Notamacropus eugenii: one gene and its partners. The protein of the gene in region 3 purifies or fractionates together with the protein of the main gene of each other region. This does not show direct contact. Links are inferred from orthologs where the notes say so. Each region holds a gene or a part of one and is shown on either strand. Other genes may lie near its edges. The genes, in order: tubulin alpha-1A chain, tubulin alpha-1C chain and TXNDC9.

Region 1 (9,702 bases), on a different chromosome or scaffold from region 3:
CCCTTCTGCGCTATTCTGACCAACTAATACTCATTGGTTCAAGTTACTACCCCAGGTTCAAGGTACTCTGTGCATCCACATGGTATTATCTTTACCTTTAAAAGTTTAACCAGCAAACAACCACAGTATGCAAGGGATTTTTCTGGTAGATTTAGTACTTCATTGCAATGCAAGGACTTAAAAACTTCCCAATGGATTCTTGAGGCAAAATGCCTTCCACATCCAGAGAAAGAACTATGGAATTTGATCACAGAATGAAGCAGACCATTTTCTTTTGTATTATGTTTTGTTTTGTTTTATGATTTCTCCCATTCATTTTAATTCTTCTATGCAACATGACTAATGTGAAAATGTATTTAATAGGAATGTACGTATAGAATCTATATAAAACTGTATGCCATCTCAGGGATGGAGTGGGGAGGGAGGGGGAAAAGAGGGGAAGGGAGAGAAAAAAATCTAAGATATATGGAAGTGATTGTAGAACACTAAAAACAAATAAAATAATTTAATTTTAAAAAAAGCTTAACCAGGAGACTCAATAATATTAAAACAAAGCCATTTACTGAGATGGCATTGTAAAAACAGTAGCTGTGAAACACTGCCCTCACAAATCAGGGTCATAGCAAAGGGCTATAATACCATGCATATCCTTTGACCCAGCAATACCACTGCTAGGTCTGTATCCCACAGAGATCATAAAAAAGGGAAAAGGACCCACATGTACAAAAATATTTTGGAAATTGAAGGGATGCCCATCATTTGGGGAATGGCTGAACAAGTTGTGGTATATGAATGTAATGGAATAGTATTGTTGCGTAAGAAATGGTGAGCAGGCAGACTTCAGAGAGGCCTGGAAAGACTTATATGAAGTGATGCTGAGTGAAGTGAGCAGAACCAGAACATTGTACATAGCAACAGCAACATTTTTCGATGACCAACTTTGACAGACTTAGCTCTTCACAGCAATACAATGATCCAACACAATTCCAAAAGATTCATGATGGAAAATGCTATCCACATCTAGAGAGAACTCTGGAGTCTGAATGCAAGCATATTATTTTCACTTTTTTGGGGGGGAGGTGTTTTTTCTTTCTCATAGCTTTTTCCTTTCTGTTCTGACTCTTCTTTCACAACATGACTAATATGGAAATATGTTAAGCATGATTATACATGTACAACTATATCAGATTGCTTACTATCTTGGGAAAGAGGGAGGGAGAAAAATTTGCAACTCAAAATTTTATAAAAAAATGAATGTTGAAAACTATCTTTATATGTAATTGGAAAAAATAAAATACTGTTAAGGAGAAAAAACCAAATTGGGGGAATATTGTGGGCACACACAAAGAGAACCTTAACAGAGAGGCATACAGAGAATACATGTGACCAAGACAACTCATGCTTCTAATACTGCAGGACCCTAACATCATTCCTTTTCTCATGATACTCTTACATTGTCCCACCCTGGGCATGGTGTTTCTGCAGGGCATGTTGCTTTGCTTGGTTCTTGGTTCTCTGGGCCTATTCCCTGCTGTGTGTCTGTGTGCTACTAAGCAAACAGCTCTGCTGTAAGAGATTTTTGTCAGTGGGAGTGGGGAGAGACATCCTCTCCTTCCTATCAAGAGGTAGATCTTTCTTCCATGGTTGCTCTCTTTCCAAATGCCACAGCCCACACTCATCAGAGTTGACACCTACCTTGACTCATTTCTTAGTGTAATTTGATTTTTAAAAGTTGGAGAGGGAGCATGGCCATTCATTCTGCCAGCCAATGCCTAGCTCCACTCTAATTTCATTGAGCTTGAAGGAAAGAGACTCACATTTATTAAGTACCTACTGTGTGCCAAACTCTGTAGAACCCTCCCAGGGAGACTGAGGACTGCTTCCCCAGGAATGAGGGCAGTGAGCTATGTGTCACATGTGGGTTGCTGAGGGATAGAATAGTTTCCAAGTTGTTTCCTACCAGAACTACCAAGTTATGCTTCAAGAATATGGCAATGCAAAAAAAATGGTGGAATCAAATACTTATTGAGCACTACCTATGCCTAGCCCTGTGCCTAATGTTTTGCAGATACCTATGCTCAGGGAAGGACCAGACGACCAATTGTTAGTGTAATTTTAGATATACAAGGTGACTCAAATGGGGTGGATGTCTTGTGAATATTGCAATTTTCCATGTTCTTTTCCATTGTTCTTTTTCCATGCCCTGACTGATGAAGGAATCTTTTCAACTTTGCTAGTCATATGTCATATGTAACCCTCCTTTTGGCTACCCCCTCCAACTCATACTCACTGGCTGGGTTGGGGGACGAGAGACCCCCCCCAACTTCAAGGTACTCTGTACATCCACAGTTCTAAAACTATAGATCATAGGCCTATATCACAGATCTAGGTTATGAAATAGAGATATTTCTTTGGATGTCATTTAAGACCTTAATACCTTATTGCCTCCTTGTACCTTATACTCTGTAACTTCATCAGCTAGGCTAGAGGGAAATCAGGGGCCTCATAATCAATTCTCCTCTCACTGTAATATTATAATAAAAATATTTCAATCATTAATAATGTTGTTATAAAAATCAAGTTAAAACTCACAGAGAGAGGTTCCCTCCTGCTTCACTTGTTCTACTTACAAGCATGAACCATAGAATTTAGACAAAGGAACCTCAGAGATGATGCAGTTCAACCTGCAGATAAAGACAATGAGACCAAGAGAATTTAAATTACTAGCCTAAGTTTACATAGGTAGTAGTAGACACTGCCTGTCCTTAAGCAAAAAACAAAATCTGTTAGTGCAAGTTGGAAACTGGCACCAAAAATTACATAAATTTACACAAATATTTTCTTTTCTTTTGCCACAATCTGCACGTTGAATAAGTGTGATGAGGAGAAGCAAATAGAATAGATTAGATAGTTCCCTGCTCTACCATTTAAATATTTAATAGCCACAAGCCTCACTCAAATGGAGCCTCTTCTTGACCTAGATCTTACTGTTACTAATACGCAACAGAAAGTTCATTTACATAAAGTATATAACAGCTCTGAGATAAATTTACAAAGAAGTCATTTCTATGAATTCTCCCTCCTTTTTATTTAGTTCCCTGTAAACTGCACGAAGAACTGGGAAGATAGTATGGTTATTCATTAATCTTTTGTATCACATAACTAAATCAAATTCAGGGCGGTGCCCCTTTATCCAGACAGGAGACTGGAACTGTACGCAATGCAGTAGTTCAATAGCATTGGAATTTGTCACTCTCAGAATTATTCAAAGAAACACCTGAGCCAAAAATTCAGCGAATGTGTATCCTTTAATTTTTATTCTAATTGTCACTTGCATATCTGGGATAATAGGGGATTCTATAGCTTTCCCTCAGTCTTGCCTTTTCACTAAAACCTAGCTAAAGACAAAGAAATGAAACCAAAATTAGATGTTGAAGTTGTTCTTTTTATAGAATCTCAAAGAAACAGATAAAATAAACTTGTAGTGTTTTCCTATATGTAGAGAATTTGACCTGATGAAGAAAATCTGTGAACTACAAACTAGAAAAATAGCTGGTTGCCTTTCTTAGAATACAACCTGCACCAGCTGTCTCTTTTTGGCCCTTCTTTCTTCTCTCTATGCCACACCCTGCTTCCTAGTCCTTGGGGAATGAATGGGGTCTGCAGAACATTGTACATGGTGACTGGAGATCCAATATGTCTCTGACAGAATAAAAAAAAACAGTATCTGCTCAAGAAGAAAGTATGGTGAGTTGAAGTGAATAAAATAACTAACCTCTTTCCTTTTTTATTTTTCATCTGCATTGTCAAAGTAGTACTAGTTTCAACATTAATTCTGCATTAGCAATATTGACAACATGCCCTTTTTACAAAGCCTCCCCAAAAAAGGAACAGCGATCTGATTTCTGAAAAGAAGCAGAGACTGTCTGGGTTATTTATGAGGCTTTTGAGCAATTCAGAGTCTATTGTTCAAAAGCAATATGTACCTATAATACCAATAGCCAACACACATATCCAAGGCACAACACCCCTCCCCCCCATACATAGCTAATTCATAGGAGCTACAAATTTCAGTGTATTGAGATAACTGATTACATAAATTCCAAGTTGTTCGTTCTTGTCTGGTAAAGTATTCTTTTTTCATCCCACCTCTTGTCCTGTATGGTGGTCTCAGTTCTCCAGTACCTATTATTTTCCCAGCAAATAGAAGAATAAACGTTAACTGTCCACACAGGAGAGATGTCATGGCCAATCATTCTTTTATTTTATTTTCTTCAGTGGTGAATCAGAAAAGGTTGATTTCTTTTAAGATGCAATAAAACATACAAAATATGTTCAAACAGAGTGCTGTTAAAGGAACATTTTCTACTTAAGTAGAAACTATTCCCTTTTCTTCCCATTTCAAAATATGTTCAGTAAGCCTAGATCATTCTCTTATAAGACTTTTTTTTTGGTACAGGTTCCTGTGGAGACTTCTTATTTGGTTCTTAGATTAAATTCTTTTTCCATTTATGCTTGTCCATCATTTTCCTTGGTCATAAAACAAGGCTCAGAAATACCTTGGAATGGTTCGGAAATAAATCTGCAATAAATTTACAGTTAGAGATGCAACTTAAAAACAAATAATCTTCTTTCCCCAGGTCCTCTCAAGCTTCATTTCACTTCCTCTCACACTTCATTTTTAAAGCTTACAAAAAGGTTTCAACCTTCACCCTCACCTAATGGCTATTGCAGTTTATTTCCTAAAAGAGGGAAAGAGGCCTGAGGTCACTTTTTTTGGTTGTTCATTATTTTACTTCAACACAGACATTCTGCTTTTTAAGTAAAGAACTAATCCTCCTACAAAGGTGTAGTTTTGTGGTTTAATCAGTATAAACTCATCCAACCACAGTTTTCTTTTTTTCCCCTTCTTCCACCCCCACCCCTCTCCTGCCACTCCCTATGATGGATGCTTGCTTGGCTAACTGCTTTGCTTGGTCTCTTTGTCTGAAGGATGCAAACAGTCTATGGATGCTAGAGAAAAAGGGGTGGGGAAGAGATTACCTCATCCCATGTCGTGTGCACCAATCACAATTCTCTGGTCTTGGCTTCTCCGGGCAGATTGAGGGGTCTGGACCAACTGGAAAAAGCCCTAGCCCATCCCCATGGTGACAGAATTGTATATAGGGAGCTGTATTGGACCATGTGCAGTAGGTTCTCTTACATCGACCGCCTAAGAGTCGCGCTGTAAGAAGCGTCAACCTCTCTTCTTCTTCTCACCCATCGACAGCAGCCGCAAAGCAGCAATCATGGTAAGGTTCCCGATCTCCTTTCTTATGTCCTCCCTAGGGGATATTAGCGCAGTGAAGGTTGTTGGTGGTGCTGCTTGCGAACCTCAAGTCCATTTTCTTTGCAGCTTCTTAGGACAGCTGCTTTGTTTGTGCCTGTATCAGATTTCTTGCTCTTAAGCCTTAGTACGCAGACATGGCGGTGCGGACCAGAATTGGGGGCAGGCGGCCGAAAAACCAGAAGGAAGAACAAAGGAGAAGGGAGGGGTTTGGGAGTAATGGTTAGCGACATTTCAGTGCCGCATAGGGCTGGTCACTGCAGGCCATCTGTCTGGGATGATGCAATGTCCTGAGGCTGGGAACCGGCGATAGTTCCACTGCCTCATGTATATTTATGTGTTCGTGTTACTTTCAGTCTGGCTGCTCCCATCCCCCTCCCCTTTGACTGCAGTGTTGGGTGGGGCGGGAGTGGGGTGGGGTGCGGGGGATAGGGACTGGGTCATTGGAGAGACTAAGCAAAGAACAGGGTTTATAAAAACCAAACCAATAAAAATGAGAATATGTCACGTAAAAAAAAATACACATTTCCCCCGTAAAGTGCTAGTTTCTGTTAGTACTTTTGGTAGGGGGAGTAAGGGTGGAGTAGAGGGCGGAGTCTCGTCGGGTTTTGTGTGTGTGTCTATCTCCTTGGAATCGCTATGCTCTTGAGCAGGAAATCTTTATTATTATTATTTGTAAGGGGGAAAAATGTCTTTTAATAAATTTGATTAACAATCACATAAAAGTAGGCTTTTTGAATGGCTGAGAGGATTGTGGATTTTCTCCTCCCCACCCAAAGATAAAAAATAAAAAAAGTTGCGAAAGGTCTGGGGAGATAATCTCAGTTCAGCCTGGCAAACCCCAAGGGTTTACTGCCTTGACAACTCACCCAGAGTGAACAAGATGCTCATTTTTCAAGTCAGGGTAAAGTGCGGTCCTTTCAGGACCCTGGGGAGCTGTCCTGTCTCCTCTTCCACCCCAGCAAGAAATCAAGTCAGTGAATAGACAGTAGAATGGGTGCCCTAAAGAAGATCGAGACAAAGAGAACTCTCTAGTGGATGTGATCAGAATATTCCACAGAAGGCAGGATATATTGAAATGCACCAGAAATTTGAAACAAACCAAACCTTGTGAGATCTTGGTGGGTTGTTAGGCTTTTTTTTTGTTCTTTTGATGTTGTTTCAGTTTGGGAAGGATTCAGGAATTCTGATTTTGAAAGGCTGTCTTTTTCTAAGCACTTGCAGAGAAATGTTTGGAAAATATTACATGGAGAAAATTAAAGACAAAACAATAAAATACTGAGGTCGACAAAGAAGAATTACATCTTTCTAGTTTCCTCTTTTCTGGCATATAATATGGAGACCACCTTTTGTTCTGGTGTCACTTCATTGATTCATTTCAATTATTCACACACAGGGTCCCAGAAGGAGTCAGAAGAGAACTGGCAAAATAATATAATGAGATCATGCAGCCAGTTGCTGGAATTAGAGATGGCTATGTTAAATAATACAGTAGGTGCAAAGCAGACACTAGGCAGAAAAAATGCAGCAATGCAGCAAAGGGACAGCTAGCTTTTATTGATTTTAGCTCTGATTGGGTCGAGTGCTCCCAGATTGGGTGTGGTCTCCCCTTTTCAGCAATAAAGCAGATGGCTATATTGAAATATCAAAATCCTGCTAAAATGGGGGTCCTGCTCTTAAGGAGAAAGGGGTAGGGTGGAAACTAAGCTTTCTTAGATCTTGGGAAAATATTTCACTTAAGAAAAATAAAGTGTGGTAGACCAATTATCATGTAATCCACAATTAAACTGAAATCCATAAACCTTTGACTTGTGTTTATTCTCTAAGAAAATATTTCTAACATTTCCACAAATTATTATTTTTATATGATTTATTCACAGTATGAACAATAGATTTGGACAATGTGCTGCTGCAGCCAACACAAAGCATTGTTCAGGCCACGCCCAACTATAACCCTTATAGCAGATTGCTTTCTAATATGTATATAATAAATGTCAATTTCACAGGTGAACTTGAAGAATAGAAATATATTTTTATAAAAATAACAGAAAAGTTATATATCTTAATCAAGTCTAATTTTACAATTTCTTCTAATTTTTTTTTTGTTTTTATGCAGCGTGAGTGCATCTCTATCCATGTTGGCCAAGCTGGTGTCCAGATTGGCAATGCTTGCTGGGAGCTGTACTGCTTGGAACATGGTATCCAGCCTGATGGTCAGATGCCAAGTGACAAGACCATTGGGGGAGGAGATGACTCCTTCAACACCTTCTTCAGTGAAACAGGAGCTGGCAAACATGTCCCCAGAGCAGTGTTTGTAGATCTGGAACCTACTGTCATTGGTATGTTTAATTACAATTCCCTAAATCCTCTTGAAATTTGAAACTGTCAGTGTCAATTTATAATGAACCAATCCTAAAATTAAACTTTTATTTTGTGTAATTCCATTTGTCTGAGATGAGACTATTTATAGGCTTCTTTTCAGTTTCTGACCATGTAAAATCTTGAGGAAAACTTTTAAAATGTAACAAATATCTCCTTTTGATTGTTGACCATTTGTCTTTACCTTAGCAGTTAGTAAGAGAAGACAGAAAGACTCTTACCTTGGTGATTTTACACCTTTTTAATTTTCTTTCTTTCTGTCTTTCAGATGAAGTTCGCACTGGAACCTACCGCCAGCTCTTCCATCCTGAGCAACTGATCACTGGCAAGGAAGATGCTGCCAATAACTATGCCCGTGGGCACTACACTATTGGCAAGGAAATCATCGACCTGGTTCTAGACAGGATTCGGAAGCTGGTATATTTCATCTCAAAATGGTTTTGGGGGGGAGGAAAGAAGAGAGGTGGCTCCATAACATTAAAAAAAGCTCAAGTATAAAACAGAATGAGGTGATTGACTCTCTAGGTTTTCTTTTTATCAGTATTATAGACACAAAGGGGAGAAATAGATTGAATTACCATTATCATTTTATAAAAATTAAAAGTTTTTCAATTGAGAAAAATGCTAAGTAAATACAGCCAAAGAGAAGTACCAGGGGAAATTAAGACCATGTGAGTTCCCCACATCAAGGAAATTACCTATCTAAGCACCCTGATCCCCAATAGAGATAAATAACAGAAAAATAAACATTTTTAGAATCAGATCTGTCCCTCCAAAGGAGTAGACATAGTCCATTAAAATGCCTTCTTATGTTTACAACATAACAAGCATCAATGATCTGTTTCTTTGTTTCCTTTCTAACAGGCTGATCAGTGCACAGGTCTTCAAGGCTTCTTGGTTTTCCACAGCTTTGGTGGTGGGACTGGCTCTGGTTTCACCTCTCTGCTGATGGAACGTCTGTCCGTTGACTATGGCAAGAAGTCCAAACTGGAGTTCTCCATTTACCCAGCCCCTCAGGTTTCCACAGCTGTAGTGGAACCCTACAACTCCATTCTGACCACTCACACCACCCTGGAGCACTCTGATTGTGCCTTCATGGTAGACAATGAGGCCATCTATGATATCTGTCGCAGAAACCTTGACATTGAACGCCCAACCTATACTAATCTGAATAGGCTGATAGGTCAAATTGTGTCCTCCATCACTGCCTCTCTCCGATTTGATGGTGCCCTGAATGTTGATCTGACAGAGTTCCAGACCAACCTGGTGCCCTATCCCCGTATCCATTTCCCTCTGGCCACATATGCCCCAGTCATCTCTGCTGAGAAAGCCTACCATGAGCAACTTTCTGTAGCAGAGATCACCAATGCTTGCTTTGAGCCTGCCAACCAGATGGTGAAATGTGACCCTCGCCACGGTAAATACATGGCTTGTTGCCTGCTCTACCGTGGTGATGTGGTTCCCAAAGATGTCAATGCTGCCATTGCCACCATCAAGACAAAACGTACCATCCAATTTGTGGATTGGTGCCCAACTGGTTTCAAGGTTGGCATCAATTACCAGCCTCCCACTGTGGTTCCTGGTGGTGACCTGGCCAAGGTACAGCGGGCTGTGTGCATGTTAAGCAACACCACAGCCATTGCTGAGGCCTGGGCTCGCCTGGACCACAAATTTGATCTGATGTATGCCAAACGTGCCTTTGTCCATTGGTATGTGGGGGAGGGCATGGAGGAAGGAGAGTTCTCTGAGGCACGGGAGGATATGGCTGCCCTGGAGAAAGATTATGAGGAGGTTGGTGTGGATTCTGTTGAAGGAGAGGGTGAAGAGGAAGGAGAAGAGTACTGAAGTATCACAGAGATGCTGCTTTACAGGGAATCAAATGTTTTCAAACATTGATGAGTTTTTGGTCAATCAGTTAATTTGTACATAATAGTATACACTTCAATGTACAATTACTGATCTATTCTTTAAAATGTGGAAATGTTGCTTAAGACCCA
Region 2 (10,199 bases), on a different chromosome or scaffold from region 3:
AGTATTTTACTGCCAGCCAGTCAACAAGCATATATTAAGTTATGTGCATGACACTGTGCTAAGCACTGGGAATTCAAAGAAAGGTAAAACCAGTCATTATCTCTTCCCCACCCTCCTATAAAGAGCTCACATTCTAGTGAGGAAGATAAATGTGAAAATAACTAGGTATAGATGGAAAGTAGTCTTAGAGAGGAAGGAACTAGCAGCCTCAGGGACCAGGAAAGGTATCCTATAGAAGGTGGGATTTGAGTTGAGTCTTGAAGGAAGCCAGGAAATATTCTGAGCAAGGAACAAGTAATCCAGTGTAAAGGGATTTGGGGGCATGTGGCGGGAAGGCAAGAAAATATAAGAAAAATAGAAAGTTAAGAAAGGATTAGGTTGTGAAGAACCATTTAAAATGCCAGACAAAAGATTTTATATTTGATCTTGGAGGCAAAAGGGAGCAACTGAAATTTACTAGGAGGAGAAAGGGGAGAAAATGTTTAGACCTACTCTTTAGATAAATCACTTTGGCATATGATAGAAGGTGAATTGGAGTAGAAAAAGGCTTGAGACAGGGAGACCAATTAGAAAGTTATTGCAATAAGACTAGGCAAAAAGCAACGAGGCCCTAAATTATAGTAGTGGTTGTATGAGTGGAAAAAAGATGCCAGTCATATGAAGAAATGCTGTGCAAGTATAAATGACAAGATTTGACAACAAATTGTACCTGTAGAGTGAGTCTGAGCGAGAAGTTAAGAATGATGTCAGGGAGGTCAAGAACTGGAAATTGAGGGGATGCCCATCAATTGGGGAATGACTGAACAAGTTGTGGTATATGAATGTCATGGAATACTATTGTGCTATAAGAAGGGATGAACAGGAAGACTTCAGAAAAACCTGGAAAGACTTAAATGAACTGATGCTGAGTGAAGTGAGCAGAACCAGGAGAACACTGTACACAGTAACAGCAACACTGTGCAATGACCAACTTTGATAAACTTCCCACCAATACAATGATCTAAGACAATTCTAAAAGACTCATGATGAAAAATGCTGTCTACATTCAGTGAAAGAACCATGAAGTCTAAATGCAGATCAAAGCATATTATTTTTTTCTTTCTTGTGGTTTTCCCCTTTTGTTCTGATTCTTCTTGCACAACATGGCTAATGTGGAAATAAGTTTAATATTTTGTTTAATATTATACATATACCTATATCAGATTGCTTGCCATCTTGGGGAAGGGAGAGGGGAAAGGAAGGGGGAAGGGAAAGGAAAGAGGGAGAAAAAATGGAACTCAAAATCTTATAAAAGTGAATGTAGAAAACTATCTTTACATGTAATTGGGGAAAAAAATAGTATTAAGTAGGAGGAAGAATGATGCCAGGTTATGAGCTAGGAGACAGCAGAAGAATGGTGGTACCTTAGATGATAATCAGGAAGTTCAAATAACTCCAGGTTTTAGGGGAGAATGAAAATAATTTCTGTTCTGGACATGTTAAATGTAAGATACCTTTACAACAACCAATTCAAAAAACTAGATAGGAGCTCAGGAGAGAGACTAATGCTGAACATATAAACGTGGGAATCATCTACATACATGATAGCTGACCCCATGAGAGCTGATAAGGTCAAAGAGAGATAGCATGAAGGAAAAAGAGAAGAGGGCCTAGGGCAAAGTCTTAGGGGACATCAACAAGTAGTTTTCCAGAGATATTTTATTGAAAAAAAATCAAGACCATTTGCCACCCTCCTCATATCACAGTTCCTTGACATTATCCTCCATTATTTCCTCATTTCCTAGGTTATGTGAGGTCATATCAATTCTTTTTTAGAGAAAGGAAGGAATACTTTTCCCAACTATAATCAAGGGGAGAATTCTTACACAAACAAGAGGATAAAAGTATTGATAAAAAATAAAATAGACAATTATGATAACATAAAACTGAAAACATTTACACAAGTAAAATAACAGTGTAATAAAGATAAGAAGGAAAACACGCAGGAAAATATCACTCCAACAAATTTTTCTGATAAAGGTCTAACATCCAAGATTAAAAAATGACTGATAAAAATACATAAGAATAAAAGCTTTTCCCAAGTAGATTAGTAAGCAAAGGAAATGCATAGTCTTGGATAAATCAGCATGTATTCAAGTGAATGGAAGACTATCTTAACTATATGAAAATGTTCCAAATCTCTAATAACAGAAAAGTAAATTAAAATAACTCTGAGGTTTTACCGCACACCTACCAAGTTGGCAAAGATAAGGAGAATAGAAAATTGCTATTTTGGGAGGATTTGTGGAAGGAAAGACAAATTTTGTACTGTTAATAGAGCTGCAAATTGGTTCAATCATTCTGGAAGGTAAGTTGGAATTATGTCCCCAAAGTCACTAAACTGTATATACCCTCTGATCCAGAAATACCACTTTTGGATATATCACCTAAGGAGGCCAAATATGTACAGAGGAAAAGACTCGTGTGTTCAAGAATGCTTACTGCAACACTTTTTGCTCTAGCAATGAACCAAAAACAGAACACATGCCCATCATTTAGGGAAGGTATGAAAAAAATGTGGTATATTAATATAGCATGGTACAAAACTACACCACAAAAATTTAATGTGATGGGTTCTAAGGATTCTAACAAATTAAAAAAACTAACGTGAAGGGATGCATGGTGAAATTAGCAAAACCAAGAGAACAACTTACTTGATGACCATAATAATACAAGGAGAAAGTCTAAAAGATCTCAGAACTCTAAGTAAAGTAATGCCCAGTGACAATTTCAAAACACTGATGATAAAACTCATATTTCTTGGCAGAAAGGTGATGGATAAGAAGTATAGAATCAGATGTGGATTCCCAGACATGAGCAATATGGTCATTTATTTTGCTTGACTACAGGTTTCTACTTGGAGAAGTAAGATACGGTAAATTAGTTCATAAAGATAGATATGGAAAACAAAGAACATCAATAAGATATTTTTAAATGCACAGAAGAAAAGAAGTACAGAGACATAAATAGACCAATTATATTTACTACCTCATATTATCATTTTTAAAAATTGTACATAAGAGAAATTCAGCTTTTTATCCAAGACTTTCTTGTCTCTTGTATGTTGAAATGTTTATATTTGTTGATGATTAAGTTCACAATAAAAAATAAAATTTTAAATAAAAGAGAAAAGAAACAATAGTCACAACTTCCAGTAGGAGGCAGCAAGTTTAAATATGGTTACTAGTTATTACTATAACTAATAATAACTAGTAACTAATTACTAGTTATTTTTGCTTTAATAAAACTTTTAGCATCCAAAATCTTGAAAGCTGCCTTCCCATCAGGTATGTACAAAACTTAACACAGAAACAAACAGAAATGTTTTTAGAATGAAAACCCAAAAGGAAGAATTGCTATAAAATATAACTGTAAATCTATTTGACCTATAAGAATAGGGACTGAATCTTCAAGTTCATAAGCATAAGAAAGGAAACATTTCATTTGATCCACAAAACAACCTTGGGAAGTAGGTCCTATTAGTATCCTCATTTTACAGTTGAGGAAACGAAGATAGATAGAGGTTAAGTGACTTGCCCAGGGTCACACAGGTAGAATTTGAACTCAGGTCTTCCTGACTCCAGGCCTAATACTCTACTTACCTACCTCATCAACTAACTGCCAGGTGAGAAAATTCCCTCTTCCACTGAAGTACAAGTTAGTAAGAAGTCAGTGATGTTAATATATATAATTATATGTTAATATATATAATTTATAACTCATATATGTTATATACATACATACAATGTTAATATGTATAATTAATATATGCCTCTTATTCCTTGACAAAGAAATGATGAACTAGAGATGTACATTCTCAAACTGCCACTATATTCACCTACTTTGCTTAACTATGGGCTTCTATTTAGAGAGGTACAATTCACCCAGTCTTAGAGAGTTGCCCAGAACATTGAGAGATTAAGTGACTCCGCCTGAGGTTACAAATGGTCATTAGGTGTCAGAAGTGGAACTCTTCCTGGCTTCCAGGGTAGCTTTCTACCCACTATTCCATGGTGACAACTCTTATCATTTTTCCTATAACTAAGTTAAAGGTCTACCGCATTTGGTGTTACTTGGATTTAAGGATCTCAATTATGTATATAGTATGGAACAGTATATAGATGGAACAATTTTAATATGAATTCCATAAGCATTTTAAATGCTGCTCACCTTTTTTATATCTACTTTTACTTCAGTTAAATTCAGCAAGCATTAAAGCATTTACTATGTGCTAGGCAGAATGTCAAGCATTCTGAGCCTAGAAAAGACCAAACTCAAAACAATTCTAGCTGCCAGAGATCTTACATTGTAAGTACTTTTACTTTTTCTCTGGATTTATTTGATACCTTTTCTATTTCATTTTACCTGTCTAAAAAAAGGCAAGCATTTAAGAAAATGAAATTTAGCAAAGGTAAACATTTTTGAAAAGTAAACATTTAGGAAAATGTTCCCTAAACAACAACCAAAAAAAAAAAACCAACCCCACCCCAAACCCTACTGGTTAGTGATTGCCACTTAAGTAGAAATAGTTTGCACTCTTTGAACCTGTCTCTTTGCCTGTAAAATGAGGGGGTTGCACTAGGTGATTGGAAAAATTATAGGATATTATGGTTGGAAGGGATTTGAGAGATCAACCAGGCCTTCATTCTCTCTGATTGCTTCCATCTCTAAAATTCTGTTAACTACTCTGCAAAAACACAAAACACTTTTCTGTGCACTGCATTTTTTCTACAGCTAGACACTTCTCACATTTAAGGAATTCATTTATGAGTTTAAAAAAAAAAATCTCCCAAGAGAAAGAAAACTGGTGGGGTAAAGAAAGAAAAGAGAATTCTGATACACAAAACATTTAAAGAAATAAAAAAGAAATTGTTTGCGTGGGAGCACCAGCAAGAGGTTTTAGCATCTTCTGGAACGTGATGATACAATGCTTTGTGTTACAAAAGGGGCTTTTTTAAAAATAAGGAATTGGAAGAGCTGTCAGAAAGGTGTGAACTTGGAATCTTTAAACTACCTACCTCCTCATCTGACAATTGTAGAAATGAGACTTCTGAAAATAGAGCCGAAAGGCCCTGTTTAAGCTTTTTGTACCAAATGGTTTCTCTAAACAGCTTTGCTCTTTGCTTAACAAAGCAGCAGAGAAACTTACAACTCCAAGTAAGGATCCTGCAGCAGCCAAGTTCGCAGCTACAATGGCTGGGTCCTACTAAGGGCCTCTACTGTACTAGTCCACTTCATACAGGGAAGTAAACAAGGCAGCTTCCCTTTTTAGTCCAGCACACAGAGCCGGCTCTGAATGAAAAGTCAAAGCAGCCAGACCATCTGCAGGGCTGTGTTTTCTGAATAAACTAGTCACTGGGAAACCTTCCCCTAGCTGGCAGGGCGGCTCTCAGAGATTACCTTGTAGGGAGTTAGGAAAATGTTCACTGGCTCGGAGCCAAGGGAGTGGGCCGAGCAGTGAGTCAGTGGAGGCCAGAAGCAGGGAGGAAGGGAAAGGTGATGGATGGAGAGGAGAGGGGCTTTTTTTTCCTCCAGCTGTTTCCAGTACCACATGGCTCCCCTTCTCCCCACCTTCATTCACCACACTCTCTCATCGTTTGGCTTACTTCCTTTTTTAAAATTTTAAAACGTATGGCTCTTTTCCCCCCAAATTATCTCACCTACTCACTCCCAGCCCCCGTTCTTTTTCAACCACTTGATGCTGTTCTTTCCCCCTCTCTTCCCAACTCCCCAGATAAACCACTCTCTTCACCCCAAACTTTCCCCCCACTCAAGGATCATCGGGGTTAAACAAACTTCCTCCTTCCCTCCCCCACACCTCAGGTTTCTTCCAAAAAGGTTTGGTTTGAACTTTCGAACTCACCAATGAGAGTCCGAGAGGAGGGTGGGGTGGCAGGCACCGGACGGGGTGGAGTTTGGGATGGAAGCAGGGCGGGGAGGGTGGAAGAGAAGCTAGAGAAAGGAAGGAGGGGGTGGGATCAGGTCCTAGGGACTCCCTCCAAACACGTGGTCCAGGAAGGGCTATATAAAGCCCCTCCCGTGAGCCCCGCTTCTCACTAACTTTTCTCCCGGAGACTTCCTAACGGTCGGTCGGTGAGAAACTTGTGTCGTCCTCCTTTCCATTTCTTCTTAGCGCAGCGGACCCCTGCACACCTTTATCATGGTGAGTGTATGGGGCCCCAGCCAGCCGGCTGCTCCAGGTGCTGGTGGAGAGCGCGGGAGCTGAGGGCCGGGACACTTAGGGTCATGTGACCAGGAGAGGGGCTAGGAGCCGGCGTTGGCCACGTTTACGAGGGAGTAGAGTGACCAGAGGGGCCCTGGGACTTGGCGGGATGGGGGCGCACGTGGCACCTTGGCCCCTTGGAACGCTTGGGGGAAGATCTCCCGCGTTGGCCGTCTGCCTCCTGGGCTGCGCTCCTATAGTGCTTTGAGTGCGTCCTGGGGATGGAGAGCGTAAAGCTCCGTGCTTTGGGCCGTTCGGAAATGAAGCCACTGGTTCTCCCTAACTTTATCTTCTAGGGACCAGAATTATAAACAGCTTCCGTACTTGGAAGTGGAAGTGCCCACAGTGACAAGGGGGGATCGATTTGTCAGAGAAAACTTGCCCCAAAGTCTGAAGGACAAGTTTTAAAATTAGGTTTAGTAAAGGGGATGGTCCGTCTGATTCGTAAGATGTTTCACACTCTTCTGAGATCGACTTTAAAAAGCTTAAAATACTTTGCATTTCTCTTTTTCTCTTCCCATCCCCCACGATCAGAATAAGCTGGTCTTTCTGTAGCAACCAAATGAGCCAAATTGAAGATAAAGATTGCTGCTTGTGGTCTTGGGAGGCAGAATGCGCTCTGAAGTGTTGAGCCCCTCCCCGACTCCCTAGGTCTATTTCCCTGTGACTTGGTGCTGAGTCACTTTTACTGAAGGAAGTAGCGAAGTTCGGGGTAACAATGTTTCCCATGGCTTAGGCAGAGTAGACGGGGGAAATGTGGTCACACATCCATGACGGAGCTTGTGCCCTAGACAGATAACTAGTGTTAACGTGTTTAATCCTACTTTTCTCACCTGTTCGAAACATGTGGAGTGGAAACAAGTACTTGAAGAAGATTCTTAAAGGGTGTTTTCTTGTAAGGCCATTAAGTAGCCGATTACAGCGATAACATCCCATTTTTCAAACGTTTGAACTATACTATTGCTTTTCCAAAGGAAAATCACGTTAAAGCTTAGTGGTTGAACAACTTGGGTTGTTGGAATGAATCTTTAAATATTATCCAGAGCAGTATAGAGAAAACTAATCCCCCAAAGAGACCACTTTTTTAACTTGTATCAAAATAGCGTTTCTGAGAATAAGTAGGAATGAAAGGAGTGTGGTCTCTAATTTTAACATGTTGTATGTTAAAGAATATAGGGTACTGCTATAAAAAACAGGCCTGGCCTTGGTTTTATTAGGGAAATGACTGTCTTACTGGTAAGGATAGGCTTATCATGTGACCTAACTTTTAATAACCAATCACCCTCCCCCCAGGTAGTCATGGGAAGGTGAGTCTTTTTGACCTTGTCAGCTTTCCCAGGAGTTTAGCAGACAAGATGTGTGAGGAAATTTCCCAAGGAGGCTTACTTTCTTTCATAATTTATAATTTATACTGAGTAATAACCTTATTGAGAGGGAGGGAATCATCACAGACATAGTCAGTTTTTGTGATTATGAGATCAGATAGTAGATAGGCTCACTTGAAAAGGTAAATAAAGGTTTGCCGGAGAAGAGAATGTTATAATTATTTATGAATCAGGAGGCCAAGGTTCCAGTCTAGGCCCTGCAACTAACTAGTAAGGATATTGGATGAATCATTTAACTTCTCTAAGCTTCAATTTCATCATAGGTGAAGCTGTGAAAGGGTTGCTCACACTGTCTGCATACAGTTGTGTGTATTCTGATTCTATGATCCTTAGTTTTTTTTGCCTGCTAATGTAATCCAATGCCCTCATTTATCTTAGATCTTCTAACTAGCATGTCATGAGCTGTATGATTTTTCCAAAGTCCAGTTAAGTTACCATCATGCACCAGTAAATAGTCATGAGCTCATTAGAACAAACAGTCACACCGCCTACAGCTGGGCAAGTGGGTACAGGTAATTTGGGGCCTTGACATGGTCAGATAACTATGGTTTTATGAATAATGTTAGATTGCTAGCTGGGAAGAAATGATCATAAAGCAAAGGTTACAAATGATAAGGGTGTTTAAATTCCTAGTTAGAAGTTAGGATACACAACCTGTAATAACTTAGAATTTAATTTTTTTCTATTCACTCTTGAGAATTTTGAACATTCCATTAAAAAACCTTGGAAGAGGAGCTTTTATTGTGTAAGAGAGTTTGGGGAAAGTACAGTGCCAGATCCTTAGATAATCTAGTTTATAATGAAGTATCCCCTGTAGAGTTGGACTAAAAATCATTTTGATAAAGACTCTAATTTACGCCATACCACTACTTGTATAAATGTGTAATAGGAAATGTTTTTCTAAATACTTTTCAAAAGAATTTTTTTTTTCCGAGAGCTAGATATGTTTATTTTCCTGGGGAAGTCGGTGATAGTCAGTGCCCTGTGAACCAAGGCCTGCCTGCTGTAGACTTTCCAGAAATATTTTTGGGGGGCAGAGTGGATTCTTCTATTGAAAATAGGAAAGCAAAAAAAAAGAAAATTCTTTTCCATAAGTTGGCAGAGCCAAAGTAAATGCTGCAGTGACCATAGATGAAGTCTTCTACAAGGTTAAAAAAGCTGCCTCTGACCAGATTTTAAAATATAGCTAGTCTGCTTATCTGGCAGTTTCTTTGAGTCATGTGGTTCTAGCTTGCTGCTGGTTTAAGCTGGTTTTTAAAGGAGGAGGGGAGAGAAGCTCTGGGGTTTAAAGAATAGGATTAAAGTGAACCCAGAATGATCTGAAACTGAAGTTACATAATCACACAAAAAGCACGAATACAAACTGAAAAGGGGAGGGATTTTTTTTAAGCAGTTTAGGAATGACGCCTTACTCATTTCCCTAGAATAGAAGGAAAATAGTTTTGAATAGAGCTTTGGGGATATTCTAAAATGGCTGGCAGGTTCCTGACTTTGATTCAACCCATGTTTGTCCCTAGATTTCTTAGGTCATGAATTCTCATATGTTTCCCCAAAAGAATTATCTCTGAATTTGGTTTGTAGTGCACTTAAACTTCAGGTAAGGTAGGTATGTCCTATGGAGTGGTTGTGCTGTAACTTAATTCATTACTTATGTAGATATGAATACATTAGCTATCTGTTCCACCTGGCTCATTTGTATTCTTGGTTTTCTGCAGCGTGAGTGCATCTCTATCCACGTTGGCCAGGCTGGTGTCCAGATTGGCAATGCCTGTTGGGAGCTGTACTGCCTGGAACATGGTATCCAGCCTGATGGGCAGATGCCAAGTGACAAGACCATTGGGGGTGGAGATGACTCTTTCAACACCTTCTTTAGTGAAACTGGAGCTGGCAAGCATGTTCCCCGTGCTGTGTTTGTCGACCTGGAACCAACTGTTATTGGTGAGTTCAATTTACATTTGCAGACATGCAGATGAAGGTGAACATTCCTAGTGATGGTTTGTTTTTTTGAGGTTTTTTTGTTTTTAGTACCCTTGGTTCTTAGTCGGAGTTACCACACTGTTAAAGCAGGGCTGCTTTTTTATTCCTCCAGATGAAGTTCGAACTGGAACCTACCGCCAGCTCTTCCATCCTGAGCAGCTGATCACCGGCAAGGAAGATGCTGCCAATAACTATGCCCGTGGACACTATACTATTGGCAAAGAAATAATTGACATTGTTCTGGACAGAATTCGGAAACTTGTGAGTCATTTAATAGTAGGGTGATACCATAGCATAGGGTAATACTCTTAAGCTCTGAATTAATAAAATTAATCTAATAAAATTTAAATCTAATTCAGGGAATCAGATGGAAATTCTATTAATGTGCTGTCTTATATATGCATGAATAACATGTTCTCCTTAGCGAAACAGAGGAGGTAATTAAGTTGTGTAATATGTCACCTGAATATAATTGATTGTACCAGCACTTAACGTTAAAACTTAGGAGCTGTAAATGTTAAAGTTGAGACAGCATTTAATCATTTGGAAAAATGGCTATTGCCATTGTAAGCATT
Region 3 (10,092 bases):
TGATAAAAATAATATTCCCACAAATAGATATCTCTCTTCAGTGAGTTAAATGCACGTTGAGAAGCAAACAAAGGTACTGTTTGCAGAATTTGGTATACACCACTGGAACAGATCCAAGTCCCACAAATGTCTTCCCAAGTTTCCTCACACCCTTATTCTAGGGTTAATTTCTTATGTCAAACCTTTTATCAGTTCCTCATCTTTCTTGATTTATTTCTGTTAAGGGCACCACCATCCTGCCAGAACTCAGGTTAACAACCTCCACTTTTCACTCTCCTTCACTCCCTCATATCCCATAAGTTAACAAGTCCTGTCTTCTACTGCATCAACATTTGCTCATCTGTCCCCTTCTCTCCATCAGTCCACCACCCTAATTTAGGCTCTCAATAATTTTCATCTGGCCTACTCAGAGAGCTTCCTAATTGTTGCTCCTCAAGGTTCTCCCCTATCCAGTCATTATACACATAATTACTATGCCAACAGATCTGTTAAAAAACTTCAGCGATGCCATATTCCTTGAGGATAAAATACATATTACTTTTTGGTATTTAAATCTCTCAAAAATCTGACACTTGCTTCCCTTTTCAGGTTTATTTACAAATTAATCCCTTTCAGAAACTCTAAGTTTCACTAAAGCATTGCTGGTGGAGTTGTGAATTGATCCAACCATTTTGGAGAGCAGTTTGGAATTATGCCCAAAGGGCTATAAAAATGTGCATACCCTTTGACCCTGCAATACCACTTCGAGGGCTGTATCCTAAAGAGACTGTACAAATTGGAAAAGAACCCACATGTACAAAAATATTTATAGCAGCTCTTTTTGTGGTGGCAAAGAACTGGAAATTGAGGAGATGCCCATCAATCGGGGAATGTCTGAACAAGTTGTGGTATGTGAATGTAATGGAATACTATGGTGCTATAAGAAATGATGAGCAGGCTGACCTCAGAAAAACCTGGAAAGACTTATATGAACTGATGCTGAGTGAGGGGAGCAGAACCACGAAAACACTGTACACAGCTACAGCCACTTTGACAGACTTGGCTCTTCTCAGTAAGACACCTTCAAAAGGCTCAGGATGGAAAATACTTTCCACATTCAGAGAAAGAATTACGTGGTCTGAATGCAGATTAAAGGATACTATTTGCTCTCTTTTTGTTTTGTTTCTTCCTCCTAGTGGTTCATTCCATTGGTTCTAATTCTTCTTTGCAACATGACTAACATGAAAATATGTTTAATGTGAATGTATACATACAGCTTATATCAGATTGCATGCCATCTTGGGGAGAGGAAGGAGGAGGAGAAAATTTGAAACTCAAAAGCTTGTGGAACTGCAAGTTGTTAAGCAAAAATAAGTTAATTAAAAAAAAAAATCTAAGTTCCAGACAGACTGGTCTATAACCTGGTTTTTTATACATTCCCATTTTCCGCACAGGCTAACCTCCATTCCAAGAATGCATTCCTCCTTCCCTCAGACTCTTAAGAGTCCCTAACTTATAAACTAAATTGATACCTCCAATATGAGGTCCTTTCTAATCCTCCCAGTTGTGAGCACTCCTCAATAAAATTACTCTGCCTTTTTATTTACTTTGTATTTAGTTACATGTGTACACATTGTTTCTCACAAATATTATGTAAGTTCTTTAAAAATAGATATGAGAGGGGTTTTTTTGTCTTTCTATCCCTAGTGCTTAGCACAGTGCTTGGCATTGGGTATTTAATACTTTTGAAAGATTTCCTTTTTATTCACAAGGGTGAATAAGCTTAGAATGGCAAACAGCACATTACTAGAGCACCTGTAAGAGTCAAACTACCTACATAGAGAATAGGTTAAATAAAGATACAATTATGAGCTCAACTCTATAGATTACACAAAACTGATGACTGACCATACATGATAAACTGGAGCTTTCTACATTCTTTCTACTTAGTCACCGCCTAAGATGTCAACAGACAGGCCAAACTAGCTAGGAAGCATTCAGGGTCAAGCAGAAAAGGTAAAGTTGTGCTCTATCTTACCACACTTCAAAGTAAAGCGACTTCTAGATGAAACATTTTTGTTAGCTGTGCATAAATTAAATTATTTCTATGTGTAAGTAACTGCCATACTCATTTTTATGTTACTTTTGATGCACAATTTTAAAATGAAATACTCTAAGACAAAATAAGCTACTGAACCTTAAGAAAATCAATGACTAGTAATTAAGTAATGAATACTTACTTTATTATTACAGTAAAATGAAATTCAGAGTGGGAAAAGGCACAACTGGAATACATAAACTGAGAAAAGCCAGCTTTGCTCTGTGAATGACTGCAGAATGTAAGATGTACAACAAAATAAGAAGGATATGTGTAAGGTAAAAATAACAGAAATCACTCTTAACATGTAACAATTCCAGAAAGATAAGGTTGCTTTGTTTCTTTTTATGACCTATTTAGATACAATCTAGCTAAACAATGAGGCACATTGAACTTTGTGATTTGTACGGCTCATTAAAAAAATAGAATCCTACACTTGAATAGGCTCAACATCAAAGAGTCCTGGATGAACTAAAAAGCTACTCAGGGCACTGCCAAAATATGAATGAGTAAAATGTGATATTCTTTCTAGGGGCTTAGAAAGCAGGTTGATTACTTACTGCCTGTGTGATAGTGGTGGGCAAGTAATTTAACCTTTCTGGGAGTGGATTTTGAGTAAATCTGAAAAACAGAGATGGGATTTAAGATGAGATATTCTGTTTCTTCATCTACATGACCTCATAAGTATCTAATCAGGTACAGTACAGTTCTCTCCTGCCAGAAATTTGGTCTTCTAAGATTTAAATGTTTTAGAAGAAATTATTAAAGTGGGAATCTATCCTGTGGATTACAAAGTTACAGGGAAAAAAAGCAGAGAAGTGAACTCATTTTGGGACCAGCCTGGGCCTTCCAAATTTTCTTTCAAAATTTGCATTCCATTCATATGTGAAGCATTTAAACATATTCTAGCACTAAACTGCATGTAAACACAAAAAGCAATGGGAATAACACTCATCAGTGGCTAAAGTTTGCTACTGCAAACTTGCATCATCATCAAATCTTTAATCATACCACCACCAGTTATTTCTGTTAACAATAATTAAAAGATAAACATAATACTAAAGTTTAGCATATTGAGAATCAAAAGAAAAAGACACTAATCATAGTAGCATTTCTTCTGTTCTGGTTTCATAAATGGCCACCTTTCTTTATTATTAGTGTTTCTTTTACTGTTCCCATTATTGTTAATATGGTGGTAACTGAAATTAGGTCCCTTTGTAAATGATATTTCCAACTGGAAAGGAAGGAAAACTTCTACACAACATGTCAGAGACGCAGACTTCTGTATTTTAAACTAACCTAAGTATCACATGGAAGCACTTATTAGACATAGGTAAATATAGCCTGTCTCACTGTAGAGCTGCACACATCCCAAACCTTGTCAGTGTATATATTACTGAAAGTCCTTTTGCTAACCCTTCAAATCGGTAGAATTCTGCATACTGTTCTTTTTTTTGTATTTCATGACTTGAGAGTGGAATCTATCCTCTAAAAGAAATACTCTCTTACAGTTCAGAGCTGGAAACCAGGAGGCAGGATTGCCATCCCTTTGATATCACTACACGTGGTCTTTCTAGTCCCTGAATTCAAAACCCTAAGGGAGAGAAAACCAAATTCATATAGATTTCTAATAATTAATATTCATGGTTGCTTCATAATTTCCTCATGCCATTTCAATACCATATATCTGATTTCAAGTTACAACACTTTTCTAAAAACATCAAAGCTTGTATCTTGAACACAGCAATGAGTGAAAGTCAGTAGTCTCATTAAGTAACCTGTTTTCCACATGCTGCCTCAAGCTGAGGAGGAATTTCATGACAAGGAAAGATTTTTCCAGTGCATCTTCCATAAAATTAACAGACGCAGAAAGGTAAGACCGAGCTCTCCTTTCCAACACCTGGAATGAATGGTGGCTCGCTGCATACTGAAAGACACTCTAATGTTACTTACAAGAAAAGGAAATAATCGTCCCTACGGAGACTCCAGTGACTCCTCTCACGTGGTGTACAAACATTAGCAAAACCTCATACTAACGACAGAACCTTTCTTCATTAAAAACTAAACTCTTAAAGGAGCTGTTATCAAGAAACAATTTCTTTGCTCGGTCCTTCTCTTACCTCCTTTTTGAAGGGGCATTTCATAAGCAACAAAATCACAAAAAAAAGGCTGGTCCCAGAAGGAAAACTAAAAACCGTGACAAGCTGGATAATGAGACCATGAATAAGTTCGCTCTGAGAGGTATCTACACCGGACGATCGAAGGCACAGGAGCGTGTGTGTGACCAGCTCTCTCACAGGAGAAACACTAAAAGCTTGACAGCAGGATGCAAGTGCGGGTAGAGGAGGAGAACCCCATTTCCCTCTTTCCTACAAGCCCAGAGAGGTCCGGTAGAGAGGTACAGCTACGACGGAGAAAGGAAGGAAAGGGCTCGCCCGAGGCCGGCATCCTCCTTCCCCGACGCCGATGGTCACTCTCTCGGAGCCTCCGTGACCCGGCTGACCCCGGCCCACCAGCGGGCCCCACGCCCCTAGGTATCGCCTCGAGCCCCTCTCCACTCCCTCACACCCCCTCAACCACAAGGACTCAATCCCGGGGACCCTCCGCGCAGGTCGGGGCCCCTCCGGCTCCCAAGTCCCCATTTCCCTCCACCCCACCCCCACTCCCGGACCGTAGAAAATAAGGGCTGGGGGTGGAGACTGACCCCGGGGCGGGAAAGGGAAGATCCGGCCCTCCCCTCCGGGCCCGGCCGGCCAGTCCGCCCCAGCACATGGTGGCTTCACTTCGGCGGCCCCCGCCTCCGACCCCGGCTGACCCCGGGGGGCCCCGTCCTCTCCCCGGCGAGCCGGCAGGTGGGCGGGGGTCTCGTGACCTCCTTCCCCTCCTCAGAGCAAGACCGGTCCGCGCAGACCCCGCGCGCCCCCACCGAGCCGCCGCCGCCGCTACCTGTCCTCGTTCCTGTTCTTCTGCTTCTTCCCCATCGCGTGACAATGGCCTTCGCGACTCCAGTACCTTCGTTCAGCCCCTTACTGACCCACAGCCCCCTGGCTGGCCCAGCTCTCCGGCCTTCCTCTTCCGCCGCCGCTTCTCGGACCCGGCTCACCACAGACCCGAACACGGGGACAGGGCACATATGGTATGAACTCGCACAGCGCAGGCGCAGCGCCCCCGCCACCCTGGCGTAGGGACGCAAGGCGTCTCATAGAGTTCTACGTTTGAGGTAGAGCGTCCCCAGACGCCAGCGAGGATCGCTGGGTGAAGAGAGCGCATCCTACCGGTAGGAGTCAGAAGTGCAGAGTAGCGATTACATAGCTGGGTACCTTCCACTACAGAAGCCCCGTACACAGCTGTTAAATCTTTTCTGTGACTGTTCTGAGATGAAGTTCACATAATCCTTCCAAGTCAGTCCAGCCAGCGCTGGAGAGCAAACTTCCGGACGGTTGTTACATCACTTGGAACAGAAGAACTTCTGTGATCCATCTGGTCTTCGTTCCACTGTTTAACGTCTGTAATTCTGTCATTCTGGTCAGCACCACGTCCGACCTTTCTATGGAGGAGATCTAAGTTGGACACTGCACAAGGGTACATGATTTATGGAGCTACTCAATAAAAAAAGCGTATACTGAGCTTGTCCCCCAAAGAGAAAAGGTTGAGGTTTTTTTTTTTAATCCTGACTCCTATCTGGAAAAATAATACCAGAAAATATGTTCAAGGAGATCCATTTCATCTTTGTTATATAGTTTAGTATAGAAAATTCATCGGAGGACTATAGCGAAACGATTCAATAAAGCCAATGGACAACACCCCCAACCCCAAACGACTACAATTCCCAAAATGCCTTGCTCCTCCCGCCGCACCTCATACACTAAGGAGCCGTATTGGAATGCTTCACCCCGGAAGAGAGTCAAGAACCTTGAGCTTATGCGCTTGCCGTAGACAAACCCACCCGAGGCAGTTCCGCCTATCTTCTGGGAAACCCAGAAACCCAAGGGAGACGAGGGGGCGCAGACGAGCGGGAGAGCGCATGCGCCGGCGACGCTCACTCCCTCTCTTCTTTGGTGGCGGTAGGCTCGCCTCGAATGTGGAAAAGAGCCAATGAGGGCTTAGTGTTTGTAACTGGCTGGTGCCCACCCCCGCCGCCGCCGCTGCCGGAGACCCAGAAGTAGCCGTGACCTTCCGCCAAGTGCTCGCCACTTCTCGGGGGAGGGGGAGGGAACCGCACCAGTCGCCGTGATTTCGGGTGAGGTGGGCCTTGAGGCGAGAAAGCTAAACAGACGATACTAGTAGGGCGGCCGTAGCACGCGGTAGGGAACGAAGGGCAAGGCGAGGAGCGGAGGGGGCGGGGGTGGGGAAAGGGCAGAAGAGCGGGCTAGGCCTGTTGGGGGAGGGGCCGACGTCTCTTGTGCGCAATTGCGGACTGAGCTGCGCATGCGTCTTTCATGGCTTTGAAGCCGGGTGCTGGTGGGTAGGGGGTCGCTTGCTCTCCCTTCAGCTGCCCTTTTCCCTTCTTCGGCGGGGGAGGGAGTGGGGGTGGAAGCGAGATCTCGGAGAGGAATCCCAGGTTTTGTGGTTGTTTCTAAAGCTCTCGGGCCTGTCCGCTCCCCAAGACCGTCCCCACAGATGGGAAGTAAAGAAACCCTCAGCCTATTTGGGGACGTGCTGTCCTTCGCCTTGTGCCGCCCCCCCAAAAGCAAATGGGCCAGAGGGATTAGCGATTAAAGCTGGAAGGAAAGCAGAACTGGAGATGATCGTGATGGACTGTACACTTTTTCCTTTTTTTGATGGGAAACAGCACCCGCCCCAAAGCTTTTGTTCCTAGGTTGTAAAGCCCTCGGGTCTTGTGTTCACCGTCCAGTGACCGAATCCGAACAAATTCCAACCTGCAAATCCCAGACCATGCTTGTGCAGGGACTAAACTAGGCCATACTGAAGGTGATAAAAGGCCGCATTTCTCTATAAACGTTTTGTATTGTGAGCAGCTGTTCCTCCCCAGTTTGTCCGAATCAGGGAAACTGTTTAATTCAGACATTTATTAAGTACTTCCTATGGGCCTGACACTGAAAATACAAAGACTAAGGCTTGGGTGGGGGCCTTAGGAAGAGCTTCCTAGAGGAGATAGTCCCCTGGTCTGGGCCTGGAAGGGAAGTGTTTCTCAGAGATAGTGAAAGTGGATACTTACAGGCAGGAGGGATGGAGGGAAGAGAAAGCAAGATGAGATGGAAGAAATAGTAACAATTTGGTGGGAACAAAGTTGCCTTAAGGGAAATAGCCTGAAAGGAGTGTCAGAGTTAAGGATCTTTCTTTTAATCTTAGCCATGAGGACAACATTGTGTAAAGCACACTGGACTAGGATTCAGAAAACCTGAATGTGAGTCCTGGCTCTGCCACTGACTCCCTCTGTGCTTACTCAGCCTTTATGGTTTTCAGTTTTCTAATCTACAAAGCGAGAGTGCTGGACTAAATCACTAACTCATCCCTAAGTTTCTTTCTCCTTCCAAGTGTGAGGACCTTCTGCTGTGATCCTGAGGTTTTGGCACGGGGGAATAACATGGTCAGACCTGTGCATTAGGAAGATGACTTTGCAGCAGTTTGCAGGATCACTGAGAAAGAGAATTAATAGATAAAATTCAAGGAAAAACAAAGTAGGAAGATGTTAAAATAATCCAAACAAAAAATAATGAGAACCTGTGGTGGCAGTGGGAGTAGAAAGAAAGAAATAGAAGCAGGATTAGAAAGGTGAAACTGGCAGGCTTTAGCAACTGATTGGACATGATGGATGAAGGAGAGGGATGAATCAAAGATAATACCAAAAATGTTTACTATGAGATCACATTATAAAGATACCTTTTTTGTCTTTCAGCAAATGATCGTCTTTTACATAGAGCCTAAAGTGAATCTCACGCTGAATTCTGTTGTGTAATGAATTCTATTGTAAAATATACAGAAGCAATAATGCTTATAATGCAGATTATTATCATGGGGAATGTTTATTCGACTAACTGTTCTGTAGCTCTTTTTCTTTCACTTCTATTAGCCAATAGAACGTAAGCTTCATGAATAAAAGAACTATTTCCTTTTTCTTTTTGTACCCCTGGACCTAGAACCACATAGAAGATGTTAAAATGTTAATTGAATTGAATTTTCCTTTATAAAAAATATTGAAACTTTGACTAAAGACCTTCTCCTGTCAGTGCCCCATGACGTAGAGGTGAGAGACAAAGAGATTTCAGGCTCTGGGAGAGCCCTGCCAAGGTGGAAAGCTTTCAGATATCAACAACATACTATATGTCTGTCATCCTTGAACTGGTCTAGCTAATTTCAGAAATTTTATCACAAGATTGGCTGAAGGGTGATGGATTTTTCAGCCAGGGTAATTTTTAAGTTGTAGAGAAGTTGAGATTTGTTTTGGTGGCAGTTGTGCCCATTTTAATGAAATCATGCATCTTTATATTACTATTATTATATCTCAGACAATTCATTTCTAATAACTTTAAAATACAGGCCCCAGTTATTTCAGTACTTTATAACTCTGCTCTCTCAGCCCTTAGATTGTGAACAACGTAAGAGGAAAGACTATGTCTTATCTTAACATTTCCCCAGTATTTCCTCCAGAGCCTATAGTACAGTAGTCTGCATCTATAGAAGACACTTAATAACAGTGTCTTAGTTTTATTATGGGAAAAGAATCTGACTCAAAAGCTTTTTTTTCTAATCATCTTACTTTCTATGAGTACATACTTATGACCTCAGAAAGGAAACAACTAGTCAAAATCACCATGTCAGTTAGCTGTCTGCTGTTCAAACAATGTTACTTGCTGACATTATAGAGAATCTTAAAAAATATGGTTTCACATTAATCATATATTAATTTGTGTATTTTTATTTTCCTAGTTGTAGGAAGTGAACAATATAGTCCAAAAAATGGAAGCTCATACATCTGTTGACATGTTTGCAAAAGTCCTGGAGAATCAGTTGCTTCAGACAACCAGTGTTGTGGAACAGCAGCTGGACTCTGAGATTCAAAAACTGGATCAGATGGATGAGGACGATTTGGAGCGCCTCAAGGAGAAGAGACTGGAAGCACTGAAGAAAGCCCAACAGCAGAAACAAGTAACCTAGCTGCACTGGTTTCTGAAATTACTAAACAGTATGGTCTGAGTACCTTACATTACTGGAGTAGTTGCTGTGGGTTCTCACTTTTAGGGGTTGATAAACTAATATATCTTTGCCAATGTTTGAAATTTGTATGAAGCTAGTGTTTTTTTAGTTTAATTAGTGTAATAATCTGAATACAGTTTTATTTTAATGAGGTCTCCAGATTGGGAACACTTTGTGTGAAATCTAGGCAGAGTAATGAACTGGGAGTCAAAAGACCTAAATTTCATGCATGCTTGCATTAATCCTATTGTAATTTAGCCTGCCAGACTATAAAATGGGAGTGTGAATTACTGAAACTGTTTAGCCAGGGTGTTTTTAAATGAAAGGAGTTTGAGAGCTGTACAGGAAAAATTTTCAGTTATTCCCAGTATAAGGTTTGTCTGAAAGAAAAGTTATCATATATACCTAAAAAGTGTAAAAACAAATCAGGTCCTCAAGAAGAGGTTGAGAGGTAAGCAGCGTGATGGATAGCTGTCAGCATCTCTGTCTTCTAGGAGGTAGGTGTGAGTGTAGGTAAAATGTGTGTTGGAAAGTGAAAGAGCTGAACTCAGATATACTTTAATTTAGGCAATCTACAATCAGTGTTGTAGAACTAAAAGACCCACTGAATGTTCCTTAAAATTCTATGGGTTGCTATTTTATAATTGGAAAAAAAATTTCCATTAAAACACATCAGAACTACTTTACAAATTCTGACTGGTTTTTAGTTTATTGGTACTCCTAATGCTTATTTTTTTCTAAAAACACAGCAAAGGAGTTCACTATTTAAAGAATTCTTTTGTGAAGGGGAAAATTCTTCATAATGAGAAAACTATGCCCTAATTTCTCTGTTTTAAATCCACATTTTTTAATGGATT

What was found.
Region 1: the proteins of TXNDC9 (region 3) and tubulin alpha-1A chain purify together in Homo sapiens (affinity purification with mass spectrometry; 3 studies listed by BioGRID and IntAct, counting the BioPlex papers as one, with this or other methods). This does not show direct contact. The link is inferred for Notamacropus eugenii from reciprocal best matches to the Homo sapiens genes TXNDC9 and TUBA1A.
Region 2: the proteins of TXNDC9 (region 3) and tubulin alpha-1C chain purify together in Homo sapiens (co-immunoprecipitation; 3 studies listed by BioGRID and IntAct, counting the BioPlex papers as one, with this or other methods). This does not show direct contact. The link is inferred for Notamacropus eugenii from reciprocal best matches to the Homo sapiens genes TXNDC9 and TUBA1C.

Annotation. Positions count from the first base shown.
Region 1 is NC_092874.1:221,084,450-221,094,151, reverse strand, and holds the start of tubulin alpha-1A chain, read left to right. Parts: upstream 1-4,986; 5' UTR 4,987-5,288; coding exon 5,289-5,291; intron 5,292-7,442; coding exon 7,443-7,665; intron 7,666-7,973; coding exon 7,974-8,122; intron 8,123-8,569; coding exon 8,570-9,550; 3' UTR 9,551-9,702. UniProt on the Homo sapiens protein: Tubulin is the major constituent of microtubules, a cylinder consisting of laterally associated linear protofilaments composed of alpha- and beta-tubulin heterodimers.
Region 2 is NC_092874.1:221,230,103-221,240,301, forward strand, and holds the start of tubulin alpha-1C chain, read left to right. Parts: upstream 1-6,084; 5' UTR 6,085-6,199; coding exon 6,200-6,202; intron 6,203-9,362; coding exon 9,363-9,585; intron 9,586-9,736; coding exon 9,737-9,885; intron 9,886-10,199. UniProt on the Homo sapiens protein: Tubulin is the major constituent of microtubules, a cylinder consisting of laterally associated linear protofilaments composed of alpha- and beta-tubulin heterodimers.
Region 3 is NC_092876.1:406,848,068-406,858,159, reverse strand, and holds the start of TXNDC9 (thioredoxin domain-containing protein 9), read left to right. Parts: upstream 1-6,050; 5' UTR 6,051-6,317; exon of another isoform or gene 6,318-6,381; intron 6,382-6,489; exon of another isoform or gene 6,490-7,009; intron 7,010-8,968; 5' UTR 8,969-8,998; coding exon 8,999-9,187; intron 9,188-10,092. Other genes in the region: EIF5B (eukaryotic translation initiation factor 5B), read right to left, coding at 4,782-4,849. UniProt on the Homo sapiens protein: Significantly diminishes the chaperonin TCP1 complex ATPase activity, thus negatively impacts protein folding, including that of actin or tubulin.